Stegostoma tigrinum: one gene and its partner. Each later gene encodes a partner of the first gene's protein in a complex. Links are inferred from orthologs where the notes say so. Each region holds a gene or a part of one and is shown on either strand. Other genes may lie near its edges.

Region 1 (7,140 bases):
TCCTGTATTCTATCTTGTCATTGCTTGATATTTGGCCTACAGCAGTAGTGTGGTCAGCGAACTTATAGATGGAGTTCAGACAAAATTTGGCCCCAAGGTCATGTGTACAGGAAGTACAGTAAGGGGCTGAGTACGCAGCCTTGAGGGGACCAGCGTTGAGGATTGTCTTAAAGGAGGTGCTGTTGCCTATCCACGCTGACATCCTCTGTGGGTCAGGAAGTCAAGGATCCAGTTGCAGAGGGCAGGGCAGAGACCTAGGTCTCAGCGTTTGGAGATTAGGTTCAAATTATAGTGTTGAAGGCAGAGCTGTAGTCAATAGGTAGAAGCCTGACATAGGTATCCTTAGCAATGCTTGGTCAAATTCTGTCTTTATGTCAAGGGTTGTCAATCTCACCTCAGCTTTGTACTTCAGCTCTTTTGTCCTTGTTTGAACGATGGTTTTAATGAGATCTGCAGCTGAATAGCCCGGACAGACTCCAAACTGAAACAGTGAACAGATTTTGTTGAGTAAATGTCTTTGATAGCATTGTTGAGAACACCTACCTTCGCTCACTATTGATCAAGAGTAGACTGTAAGTGGCTGTGTTTAATTTGACTTGCTTTTTGGGCACATGCAATCTTCCACACTGTCAGGTTGATGCCAATACTGTACTGGAACAACGTGGCTAAGAGCACAGGTCTTCAGCTGGAATACTGTCAGGGCTCATAGTTTTGGCAATATCTAGTCTCTTCAGTCACTACTTTATATCATATAATGATCATCTTTAATAGCAGAGCAGATTCAAAGGGCCATACGGACAAATGTGTTTATGAACATTAAAACAGACTTAATTGTGCATTGTTCATTATTTCATTGGCAACCACAACATCTAATGTACATCCTTTACTGCTCTAGAACTTGATTGACCATTTCAGATGACAGTTAAGAATTAACCATACTGCTGTGGGTCTGGAGTCACGTGTAGGCCAGACAGATAAGGCTGGCAGATTTTCATCACTGAGATTTTTTTGTTTTAAAATGTCAACGAATGCTCATTTCAACATCTCCTAGGTTTCAATTTCAGAATTGTTAACTAAATTTATATTCCACCAACTGTCATGACAAAATTTGAATCTATAACCCTGGGAATTAGCTCAGACCTGAGTTACCAATTCAGTGATATTATCTCTACAGTCTCCAGGAAAAGACAGCATTTACTTCATAGAACAGTACTGCACACAAACACAGCCTTTGATCCATCACATCTGTGCCATCCATGACACCATTCTAAACTAATCCCAACTTCAGTTCCCATTCTACACAAAGCTCTATGCCTTTTTAAACCTGTGCCCATGGCACTGGAACCCAGTGAAAACAACTGGCCTGATGGAGTTCCCAGTTGTGCACGCAAATCCTGTGCAGACTAGCTGGTGGGAGTATTTGCTGACATTTTTAACCTCTCCTTTGTATGATCTGTGGTTCCCATCTGCTTCAAGAAGACCACTATCATCCAGACACCAAAGAAAAATCAAGCAGCATGTCTTAATGACTACCAACTGGTGGCTTTGATAGCCATCATTATGAATTGCTTCAAGGGGTGAGAAATGGCACACATAACTCCAGCCTCCCAGATTACTTTGATATACTACAGTTCACTTACTGCTGCAACAGTCCACAGCATCTCCCATCTCCCTTGACCCTACACTGGAACATCTGGATAACAAGGACACCTAAGTCATACCCCAACTCCACTTTCAACATCATATTTCTAGCCAAGTTCATCTTCAAACTCTGAGACTCTTAGGACTCTGTACCTCCCTCTGCAAAAGGATCCTCAACTCTCTGATTCACTGACTATAATCAATAAGGGCAGACGACAACACCTCCTTCACAATAATCCTCAACATTGGTGCCCTGCAAGGCTGTGTAATCAGAGCCTTACTATTCTCCTTATACACTCAAGGCTGCGCAGCCAAATTCTGCTTGAAATCTATTAACAAGTTTGCTAATGACGCTATCATAGTGAGTCAGATCTTAAACAAGAAAGAGAGAGCTTAGTGGCATGGTGTAAACACAACAATCTATCCCTCAATGTCAGCAAAATTAAGGAGCTGGTCATTGACTTCAAGATGCAAAGTGGAGTATACAACCCTGTCTGTATCAGTAGTGCTGAGGTGAGGATGGTCAAGAGCTTCAACTTCCAAGGAGTGAATATAACCATCAATCTGTCCTGGTCCATCCATGTCGATGCTACAGTCAAGAAAGCACATAAACACCCCTACTTCCTCAGAAGGCTAAAGAAATTTGCACGTCCATTGTAATTCTTACCAATTTTTATAGATGCACCAAAAGAATGCATCCTATCCAAATATATCACAGCATAGCATGGTAACTGCTCTAACCAAGACTACAAAAAAATTACAGAATTGTGAATGCAGCCCAGTTCATCAAGGAACTAGCCTGCTGTCCATTGACTCTGCCTGTACTTCCCACTGTCTCAGGAAGGTAGCCAACATAATCAAAAATCTATCCCACCCTGGTTATACTTTCTTCCACCCACTTCCGTCAAGCAGAAGATAGAAGTTTGAAAACATGTACCAAAAGATTCAAGAACGGCTTCTTTTTTCTTGCTTTTTGGCAGATTTTTACGTGGACATTTCATATATCAAAGTTGATATTTCTCTGCACCTTCTCTGTAGCATTCACTTCTGTTATCTCGATGTACTTATGTAAGATATGATTTGCCTGTATCGCATGCAAAACAATACTTTCACTGTCTCTCAATACATGTAACAATGATAAAATTAAATCAAATATTAAAAGATTAAGCAAGCAAAACTACTCCAACATTGAGTGAGTCAGATATATAGAGTTTTGTAGCATGGAAAAAGGCCCTTCAACTCATCTCGTCCAAGCCAGTCATCAAAACCTATCTACTCTAGTCCCATTTTTCAGTAGAATAGTAGAACAATAGAATAGAAGAATCCTTGCAGTGTGGAAGCAGGCCCTTTGGCCCAACAAGTCCACACCGAACCTCAGGGCATCCCACCTAGATCCATCCCCTTATAACCCACCAAATCTACACCTCCCTGAACACTACGGACAATTTAGCACGGCCAATCTACCTAACCTGCACATCTTTGGACTGTGGGAGGAAACTGGAGGAAACCCATGCAGATACGGGGAGAACGTGCAAACTCCACACAAACAGTTGCCCAAGGCTGGAATCAAACCCAGGTCCCTGGCGCTGTGAGGAGTACTTGGCCTGAGGCCTTATTTGTTACAGCACTTCAAGCAATCATTTAAATGCTTAAATTTTGTGATGACTCTTGTCTCTATCACCATTTTAAACAGTGAATTTCAATGATTCTATCCCTCTCATCTATGATTTTTCAAAAATCTTCCTAAGTGCCCCCAAATCACTTACCTCTTAATTTAAATCTATGCCCTCTGGTCATTGATCCCTCCACAAAGGGGAAATGTTTTGACCTATTTATTCTGTCTCTACGCCTCAAGATTTCATACATTTCAATCAGTTCCCACACTTCAACCTTCAATGCTCTGAGAATAACAGCCCCAGCCTGTTCAGCCCCCCTTCAGAGAAGAATGGCTCCAATCCAGGCAACTTCCTGGTGAACCTCCTCTACATCCTTTCCAGTAAGATCACATCCATTCTCTGTTCAAACATTGAACTGTGACAAGCCTAAAAGAGGGAGGGGGTTCACAAAATCCAGTCTTCGAAATGCACTGAGTTGTTACCATGGTAACCACCTGGCTTCAATGATAAAACAAGTTTTCAATATTCGACAATCGACAGCATTCAGACTTTCTGGCATTAAGAGTCCTCGTGTATCTCACTGAAGGGACAAATGACTCCACTGAAGCTGAAAGGTCACACGCTATACTCACCTGAAGAAGACACAAACCGTCGCTCTTCTCGCCCACCGCCATCTTGCTAAGGGCAGGAGGTGACCTCATCGTTGATGACGGACAGTCTGTTCAGCCAATCGGGTGCCGCTCAGTGAGTCCATCCGGGGATGCGAGGGATGGGACCCGGTCCTGTCGGCATGCGCAGAGGAGGCTCTCGGCGGGTCGATGGACGATCGGGAGTATTCCCTGACCGCGGCGCAGAAAGCGGTGAAGGAGAAATATCCGCCCGTCAGCAAGAAGTACGAATGTGAGTGCAGCTTCGTCTAGTGCCGCCTTTGTGGCGGAAGTACCGGGCCCCAGGTTCCAGCCGAGGACGTTCCCAGGCAGACTGTGGAGGGAGGAGGGATGGTGGCGAGAAGGAGCCTGGGCCTTGTGGGTGTAGAGGGTTGAGACGTAATCGGGTTGGGAGTGGAGTCTAGCTGGACTCTTCAAGTTAAGAATCAAGCCTAATCCCCGATCTAAAATTCTACACATTGACTGATTAATTCTCTTTCACAGACGCTGCCAGACCTGCTGAGTTTCTCAAACATTCTCTGTGTTTGGTTAAGAATCAAAAACAAATGTTGTCAGATGCTCGCAGCCGAGTTAAAAATGGGAAGGTGCAGTTAGGTCTGGACCTGGAAAAGTTAAGGGGTTTGTGATTTATTCTAGCTTCTCGATGCTGCCCAGCACCTGACCTGGAAAGCGCACATTTAATTGTTGAGTAGGTAAAAAGCAGAATGTGCTAATCGCCACCCAGAACATTCAGCCTCCCGTGTATCACCAGACAGTAAAGTATGATATCTTCACTAGAACACTGGGCAAAATCTCAACCAAGATAAATCGTAGTCACGGTGACCAATTAAGACAGCAGGAAGTGAGCAAATAATCCATAATTGTTTCCAGTGTTGTGGGGTAAATTAAACAAATACAGCTGCCGGTGTCATTGTTTTCTTTGATATAGTGGGTCATCTTAGTCGCGGTACATTGTAATCTCATGTATTATAAAATGACAAGGTTTATAAAAATGATTTTCAGCTTTTAATTTCTGTAACTTTGATTTTTTATTTGTTCTTAGACTTGGACCACACTGCAGATGTACAGTAAGTTCTTAAAACAACTACTTTTTATGGAAACAGTTAGCTATTAAAAACAATTTGGAATACACAGTTCTTTGATACTTGGGAAGTAACCTGTAATATCTGAATTTTATGATTCATGCCAGCTTTTATTGCAACTTTGGGATTCCACATTGACTCACTATGTGAATTTTGTTGTATCGTCTTTCTCATAACAAATATTTGAATGCTTTTGTTCCAGATCAACTGTTGGTTTTATTGAGCTTATTTTCTTAAAGTGTATATATAAGCTACCTTCTTCAAAGTGTTAAGCTTAATCATCACATCAACTTAAACTTTATTTAATTGAATTTAAAAAGAATTAAATTTTATCAATCATAGTAATGAAATTATGGGGCTAGGAATTCCAAAATTTATTGTAAGTTTAAACAAATTGTACATTCTGTATTCACTTTTTGCAGGAAAATAATTTTATAATTCTCCCAAAATATCAATGGCTGTCTGAAAACTTTGTCGGACTATGTTTACTTACAGGAAGATTATTGAAATGAGGAACACATTCAATCTAGTGTTGTGACTGAGATTTTAATCTTATGACATGTATATAAGATGTTCTGCATATTCTACTTGAATTGTGGAACACAAGATGCACCATAATTGCAATTTAACTTTGCAAACTGGAACGATCTGTAAAGGAAATGTTTTAAGAAACATCAATATTGGAGTATTTTCAGGCCTTGCAATTGTTGACACCGGTAGGAGAAATTAATATATATTACCAGTTATACACTTTTTTTCCCAAGTTAGTTCCTATTAATTGTAATTGGAAAATTTGCAGATATTGTGTATAATGTTTGAGTCGTCTTATTTGTATGCTATATCAACTGATATACAAACAGTAAATGTTAGAAATACACCTCTGTTCCACAAGCTCCTAAAAGATCAACCAGATCTCCAGTAGTGACTGTCCTTCAAAATTAATTTAAAAAGGCTTTGTTATTGTGCAGTCTTTTGTCATACCATTCTATGATCTGATTTCTGTCTGGCTGACCCTTTGGGATTTGTAGTTGAAAGTAATTGACAGCCACTAACTTCATAGTTTGTGATTAATATAACAGAGTTGGCAATCTGTGTGTTACATTTATGAAACAGTTAATTTCCAGTGCTGAAGTCCATGAAATTGCTACTTTTTACAGGTTACATTCATGGGGCGATACATTAGAAGAGGCATTTGAACAGGTTGTAATGGCTATGTTTGGATATATGACTGATATTGAAACGGTGCAGCCATTAACAACAATTGAAGTAGAGGCTGAAGGTAACTATGGTGACGTTCTGTGTACGTTTGTATGTATAATTTTTCAATAGACAAAACATTTCCGTGACACATTCCTCTTTAGGCTAGTATGCTCAAGTGTCAGGGCGGTTAGATCATTTCTTTGGTTCCAAATGGATTATTTTGCATGTTTCACATTTTTTTGAGATGAAGGTATGAGGATACAGGACATAATTTACTTGGTTTAAGTGTGAGCCTCAAGACATTTACTACCCATGAAGTTTGGAGAAGAGGATAAATGTGAAACACTGTATTAAACTTGGTACACTTGATCCTCTGTGCAATCAAATAAATTTTCGAAAAATAGAATAATTTTTGTTAGAAGAGAATTTTTTATCAAATATTAATTTAATAAGCACTATTCAATTAAGTGGAAAGGTGATCTGGAGTGTAATGGCCATTATGACTCTGTCAATCCACAAAATTAGAGGCAGTTCACACTTGCATATTGAGTCCTTGGTACCTGCTCAATTGCTTATCAGTACAGAAAGTAACAGTGGGGTACATTCATTAGAAAGGAAGTCAATGGGAATTGATGCCTGGTCTCCATTACCATTAATGGGTAGCAACAAGTTGCCTACCTGATGGCAAATTATAACAAAAATTTGTTTTAAAAATGTTAATACTAAAATAATTGGGTACTGTTCTAACAAATGGGCTAAGCTGATAGATAAGCTAATGTCATAAATTGAATCACTGCAAACTTTCTGATGCAAAAACTTAACGCAGTAAGCTGATATGATAAATAAATCTTTGTTTTATTTGTTTTGAGATCAGCAAAAGACTTTGCCATAATTTCAACAGTCTGCCATTCTCCATCTCCCTGCTCAGTTAGA
Region 2 (6,920 bases), on another chromosome or scaffold:
TCATAATGGAAACAGATTTAAAGATCCCCAGCCACAAGCACACAGTTGCACATACAGGGCACATTTATTCTGTTGTCCTTTTTGATTTCATTTTTAAAAAGGGGGATCCAGGAATGGGTGATAATTGGGAACAATTTGACAATTAAAAAATATTATGTAGAGCACAGTGTCAGATAATAGACCAAGATATGTACAGAAATTCCTCTTTTTTTTAGGAAGTTCACCAGAATGGCTACTCCGAGACAACGATTCAACGAGTATTTATTGTGTATTATGTGTTATTGTAATGGCTGTATAAAAAATTTTGGTGTAGGTATAAAGGGGGAAAAACAATATATACCCAGAAAGCCTGTGGTATGACCCACCAGAAATCGCTGTATGTGTAGATGGTACCAACTAGCAATTAATAGATGCAAGTAAAGGAAACTATTTAATGATCTAGCCACAGCATATGGGGCAGGGGTGTCAATGGTCAATAGCCTTGATTTGGTTAATTTGGAAAATAAACTCAGGATCTTGATGCAACAAGTCAAACGAGCCCTAGAAGAACTGAATACAGACAATCAACCAGAGACCATTGGGATAAATACAGAGATTCAGGCTAGCCACTACTATGTGACCATAGTAGAGGGTCACAGCAATACGATTAACCAGGCCATCCAGGGTAAAATCAGGGATGATGGGGAGCAGCAAATCCGCAACACGTACAGCATCCAAGGATACTGGATGATTGAACAGCTGAGGGAGGACCTCAGGCAGTCTAATGTAAATTATCATAATATAAAAGACAACAGTTATTCAGGCAGGCTGGCCAAGGGAAAGTCCCATCCTGGATCAGTGATGCATGCTGTTTAACTCTATGAACAGCTCAAAATTTGTTCCAGAAGAGATCCCATGCTAACATCTCTAGCTGTCAGTTATGGCAGCTCACCGAGGTTTGGTATAATGAAAACTGCAAGCACACTCTTGGCAAGGTGCTTGGCTTGGTGCTAGGGATTCCAATTATCCCTAGTGACAAGGTTGAGTTGAGGACCTTTGAAGCCGAAAATATTGGAATTACATAAAAAGGTATTGGGATGGGTTACTGTGACACCCTCCTACATGCTGTGGAGAGATTGGGACAATTGATCGGGACCACTCGAACAAACAGACAATACCTTCATGCCCATGCACTATCAACCGTGACCTCAGCTCTTCTCATACCTAGCTGTGGACCTAATTGCACTCACCTTGATATATCTCAGGATACCAGTGCTACGAGTGCAGGCTGGGAAAGACAGCTATCCCAAGAAATCGGCCTCTCACTATAAATAATACTGTACATGCACACAGGGGCTTTAAGATGGATGGAACTCCCAGCGTTATCAATATTGTCGCTTGTATTTGTTTTGATTGCTGAATGTTGTCTATGCACTATGATACTGTATGAATGACAGGAGTTTTCATCATTTTTGTACATATATTTATAGGATAGGTTTGATCAATGTACATAATTGCTTTCACATGATTACATAGGCTCGCCTGACCACAAACATAACCAACTTATACAATTAGGTTTGAACTTCATTTGCATGAGCTGTTTTCAGTTCTAAAGGGGTGAAATGTAGCAGTCTCCTGGCTGCTAAAACACAGATAGATTGCTAACTTGGAAAAACAGGGATTCTGGGTACATTGGCCAAATAAAACTTTGAAATCACAAACCCCACACACCAGAAACACTGCAAACACTATAGCCAGGTGCTCATGACATTAGCATAACGTAAAAGGCAACAGTAATTCTGAACAGACATACCCCCAACAACTTATCTACTAGACAAAGGAGAGGCCACACAGAAATGCATTGCATCTTACTTCACAAAGAAAGTAACAGTAGCATGCCATCTAAATGATTGACTCTTGTTTCAAATTATTGTGTGTCTCCATGATTGGCCACAGCTATAGAAAGTTCCAGAAAAAAATATCAAGAAGGTATGAAACAGGGTTCACCTGCAGATGTTGCTCTGGGAACTGCTCTTAAAACTGCTGCTGGAATAAGCTGAGGCCTTCTGAGGAGACCAGCATGGCAATAGGAGCAGGCCAGCTGACCATCCATAGATGGAGGAAGAAAGTAGCTTCACAGTCCCAGAGACAGAGCCAGAGACAGACTAACAGTGTAAATCTACAAAAGCTAACAAAGTGTAGGGCTGGATGAACATAGCAGGCCTAGCAGCATCTTAGGAGCTCCGTGTTCATCCAGCACTACACTTTGTTATCTCGGATTCTCCAGAATCTGCAGTTCCCGTTATCTCTATCCAAAATCTACAAGAGACTTGGGAAGTATTGTAACCTCAAGGGGCCAAATAGTATTAAAGTTTAGTTTATTAATAAAGATTATTGTAACTTTGTTCCTAATAAAGTTAGGACTGTTTTGTACTGGTACTGGCTTGATTTGACCACTTCATATTGTGGGATGCCTGGACAAATTAATTCATAAAATTCTGCTTAGAGTTTTCTAATGTGCTTAAGACGAGACAAGACAACAGATTAGTGCTGGGTCCACTGCTTTTCGTAATTAATATAAATGATCTGGATGTGAATATAGGAGATGTAGTTAGTAAGTTTGCAGATAACATCAAAATAGGAAAGTGAAGAAGATTATCTCACAGTACAATGGGATCTTAATCTGATGGGCCAATGTGCTGAGACGTGGTAGATGGAGTTTAATTTAGATAAATGTGGTGTTTCATTTTGGTAAGGCAAATCAGAGTAGGGCTTACACAGTTAATGGTAGTGCCTGGGGAGTGTACCTGAACAAAGAGACCTGCCGGAGCAGGTGCACTTTGAAAATAGTTTTGCAGGTAGACATGGTGGTGAAAAAGGCATTTGGCATGCTTGCCTGCATTGGTCAGAACATTGAGTATAGGAGTTGAGATGTTATGTTATAGCTGTATAGGACATTGGTGAGGCCACTTTTAGTCTACTGTGTAGAATTCTGGTCTTCTTTGATGCAGGTTCAATGGACCAAAGATGGTCTTTTGAAAGCAGTTGAGATGGGGCTATCCACTTCAGAATTTACTGAACTTATCATCACAGATCAAACTGTTGTGTAATTTGGAAGAATATATAAATTCTACTACCAGTAAGTGCAGTCTATTATCAGAATTTCCACTATTTAAATATTATGCTTCCTCCTCACTCATTCCTATATGAAAGAAAGTTACTACGAAGTCACATTGCTCCTTGGTCCTGAAGATTTGTCTGAAATGTGTTTCTAAGAAATGTTTAACTTGGAGTCTAGCTGTTAAACTTGAGAAGGGGCAGTAAATATTTACAAGGATGTTGCCAGGATTGGAGTATTTCAGCTATAATAGAGAGAGGCTGAATGGCCTGGGCTTTTATCCTTGGGACTGTCAGAGGCTGAGGAGTGATTTTGTAGAGGCTTATAAAATCATGAGGGGCATGGATTGGGTGAATATCCAATGTCTTCTTACTCGTAAAGGGGAGTTCAAACTGAGAGGGCATAGGCTTGAGAGGCAAAAGATTTAAAAAACTTGTGAGGGGTAAGATTTTTCAAGCAGAGCGTGATGCTTGTATGGATCCAGATGCCAGATGAAGTGTTGGAGGCTGGTATAGTTACAACATTTAAAAGGCATCTGGATGGGTGTATGCAAAGGAAGGGTTGAGAAGGATACGGGCCAAATGCTGACAAACAGAACTAGGTCATATTGGGACGTCTGGTTAGCGCCAATGAATTGAACCCAAGGACCTATTTCCGTGCTTCATAGCTCTATAACTCTAGACTGTTTGGGGACAGCAAGTTGTTGTTGATGCTGGCGGTTCCGTCCACGTGCGGGGAGATGTATTTCGGGGGTGGGGGGGGGAGGTTGGTGGAGTCCTCCAGGCCGCCAGGGCGGCGGTGCTTGCGGATGTCCCGAGGGGGTGAGGCGGTGTTTGTATTATTACCGATGAAGGTGGTGGCACCTCTTGCCGTTTCCTTCTGGAACAAAAGGAGCGGGAGCAGGTTTGAAAGCGGAGCGATTGGTAAATTCACTGCGATCGGTTCAGTGCGGCCTGAACGGATCCTGTGTTGAGGCCGTTGTGTGCAGGCTGAGGCCTCGGGTTTGTTGTGGGCCCTTTCGCCCGAGCCTATCATCATCACCCTGACCATGGAGGGGGATGTCCTAGACACGCTGGAAGCCCTGGGGTAAGCCGCCTTTTACCTGCTGCTTTTACTTTCTGGTTTGCCGTGGAAGGGTTTATTATACCTTTTTTGGTATTAAAAGAATGGAGCAAAGTGATGTGGTGGGTTCTCCCTGCCTGTTGTTGTGGGGAATGAATGGGGAGGAGGTGGTTTCCAGCGCAGGGACCCACTGTGGCCATTCACTCGTACTGCCCCCATCCATGGAGACTCCCCACCTACCCTACTCCAGATCAGCCTCACCCATCCCACTTCACCCGGTCACTATGTTTTCCATGGGTTAGTGCTGGTGACACTTGGACCATAAGGATGGGAGGGGTTGTTGGGAGCTGTCAGTGCTAGTGATACTGTGGGATCATAAGAATCGAGTGTTGCTGGTGACGTTTGGACCAGAGGGATTATTGGGGTTGGGGTTGTCAGTGCTGGTGATACTGTGGGTTCACAAAGTTGTTGCTCACACTATGGGAACTGGCTACTGAGAGGAGAGATTGGATGTAATCTCAAAAACTTGAAAATGTGTGCCAAAGGTCGATGTCATGGCAAGCAACATGGGACAGGGCCTCAAATGCAGTTGGGTTCTGTCAAGTTCAGGTTGTTTGGTAATCTGTATGGAATAGGGCAGTGTGATACCCTAGAATTTTGTGGGAAGCTAGGGAAGTGATTGCTGGGCCCTTTTGCTGATACATTTGCATGATCGATCGCCACAGGTGAGGTGCTGAAAAACTGGAGGTTGGTGATCATGGTGCTACTATTTAAGAAGGTGGTGCAGAAAAGCTAGGGGACTATAGACTCCTGAGTCTGATAGTGGTAGACAAGTTATTGCTGGGGATTTTGATAGACAAGATTTACATGTATTTGGAAAAGTAAGGATTGATTAGGGATAGTCATCATGGCATGGGCAATCATATCTAATGTGAATTTTTTGAAGGAGTGACGAAGGCAGAGTGGTGGATGCTATTTATGTAGACTTCAATAAATTGTTTGACAAGGTTTCACATGCTAGAGTGGCAAGATTCGATTATGTGGAATACGAGGAGAACTAGCTATTTGGTTGCAAAATTGGTTCAAAGATCGGAGACAGTGTGGTGGTGGAGGGTTGCTTTTTGGACTCAGCCTGTAACTAGCGGTTTGCTGTAATGATAGGTACTAGTCTGCTGTTTTTTGACACTTTTTGTTAAATGATTTAGATGTAAACACATAAGGTATGGTTAGTAAGATTGTAGATGACACCAAAATTGGTGGTGCAGTGGATAGCAAAGAAGATTACCTTGGAGTACAGTGGTTCCTTTAATCAGATGGGCCAATGAGCTGAGGACTGGCAGATGGAGATTAATGTAGATAAATGTGAAGTTCTGCATGTTGGTAGGGCGAATCAGGGCAGGACTTGTATACTTAATGGTAGGGTCTTGCGGAGCCGAACAAACAGACCATGGAGTGCAGGTTAGTAGTTCCTTGAAAGCAGAATTACAGCTAAACAGTAGTAAAGAAGGCATTTGATATGAACCAGACCCAAAATGCTGTCCCTGATTTTTCTTCAGAGGCTGCCAGACCTGCTGAGCTTTTCCGGCAACCTCCCTGCTTTTGTTTCTGATCTACAGCATTTGCAATTCTTTTGACTTTTTTATTTAAAAATGTATTGAATATAGATGTTGGGAGATCATGTTGCAGCTGCACTGGACATTGGTTAGGCCACTTATGGAATACTGTGTTCAGTTCTGATCTGGCTACAGGCAGGTTGTTGTGAAACTTGAAAGGGTTCGGAAAAGATTTACAAGGATGTTGCCAGGGTTGGAGTGTTTGAGCTTTATGGAGATGCTGTTTAGGCTGGGATTATTTTTCCTGGAGTGTTAGAGGCTGAGAAGTGAGCTTATAGAAGTTCATAAAATCATGAAGGATATGAATAGGGTGGATAGCCAAGGTCTTCTATCCCAGGGTAGCAGAGTTTAAAACTGGAGGGTGTAGGTTTGAGGTGTGAGGGGAAAGATTTAAAAAGGACCTAAGGGGGACAGGGGTGGTGTGTGTATGGAAGGAGCTGCCAGAGGAAGTTGTAGAGACTGGTACAATTGCAACATTTTAAATGCATCTGGATGTGTATACAAATGAGGGTTTAGAGGGATACAGGCTGAAAGCTGGCATATGTGACCTAGATTAATGTAGAATATCTCATTGACATGGATGAGTTAGACCTAAGGGTCTGTTTCCATGCTGTACACATCTATGACTCTAGTGATGCCCCTGGGCTGGGACTGTGGTTCTTAGATTAGTTTTTCTCTCTTTCATGGAGTACAAATCAGCATTGATTGCCTATCCCTAATTACACTTGACATTATGATGGTGTGCTGTCTTCATGAACAGGTCTAGTTCATGTACTGTAGATATGCCCACAATACTGTGGGGAGGAAGTCTTCAAGATTTTACCCAGCAACTGTTGTTTTGATAACATTTTCCGTTTCTAATAATAATTACACTGGTGTCTTTTTGATGCAGGTACAATGGACCCTTGTTGGAAGAGGATGCTCTTTTGAAAGCAGTTGAGATGGGGCCGGTCTCTTCAGAATTTACTGAACTTTGTGTGTGGTTATCATCACAGATTAAACTGTTGTGTAATTTGGAAGAATGTATAAATTCTACTACCAGTAAGTGCAGTCTGTTATCAGAACTTCTATTGTTTAAACACCATACTTCCTCCTCATCTCCTGTATGAAGGAAAGTTACTACGAGATCAGTTTGTTCTTCAATCCTG

What was found. The genes of interacting proteins can lie anywhere in the genome.
Region 2: zbtb8os (region 1) and fam98b share a complex: the UniProt entries of both Homo sapiens proteins name them as parts of the tRNA-splicing ligase complex. The link is inferred for Stegostoma tigrinum from reciprocal best matches to the Homo sapiens genes ZBTB8OS and FAM98B.

The regions. Positions count from the first base shown.
Region 1 is NC_081377.1:45,047,861-45,055,000, reverse strand, and holds the start of zbtb8os (protein archease), read left to right. Parts: upstream 1-4,027; 5' UTR 4,028-4,075; coding exon 4,076-4,157; intron 4,158-4,967; coding exon 4,968-4,992; intron 4,993-6,164; coding exon 6,165-6,286; intron 6,287-7,140. Other genes in the region: iqcc (IQ domain-containing protein C), read right to left, coding at 395-481, 3,890-3,958. UniProt on the Homo sapiens protein: Component of the tRNA-splicing ligase complex required to facilitate the enzymatic turnover of catalytic subunit RTCB. Together with DDX1, acts by facilitating the guanylylation of RTCB, a key intermediate step in tRNA ligation.
Region 2 is NC_081363.1:66,498,827-66,505,746, forward strand, and holds the start of fam98b (protein FAM98B), read left to right. Parts: upstream 1-3,885; 5' UTR 3,886-4,145; coding exon 4,146-4,183; intron 4,184-6,664; coding exon 6,665-6,813; intron 6,814-6,920. UniProt on the Homo sapiens protein: Positively stimulates PRMT1-induced protein arginine dimethylated arginine methylation.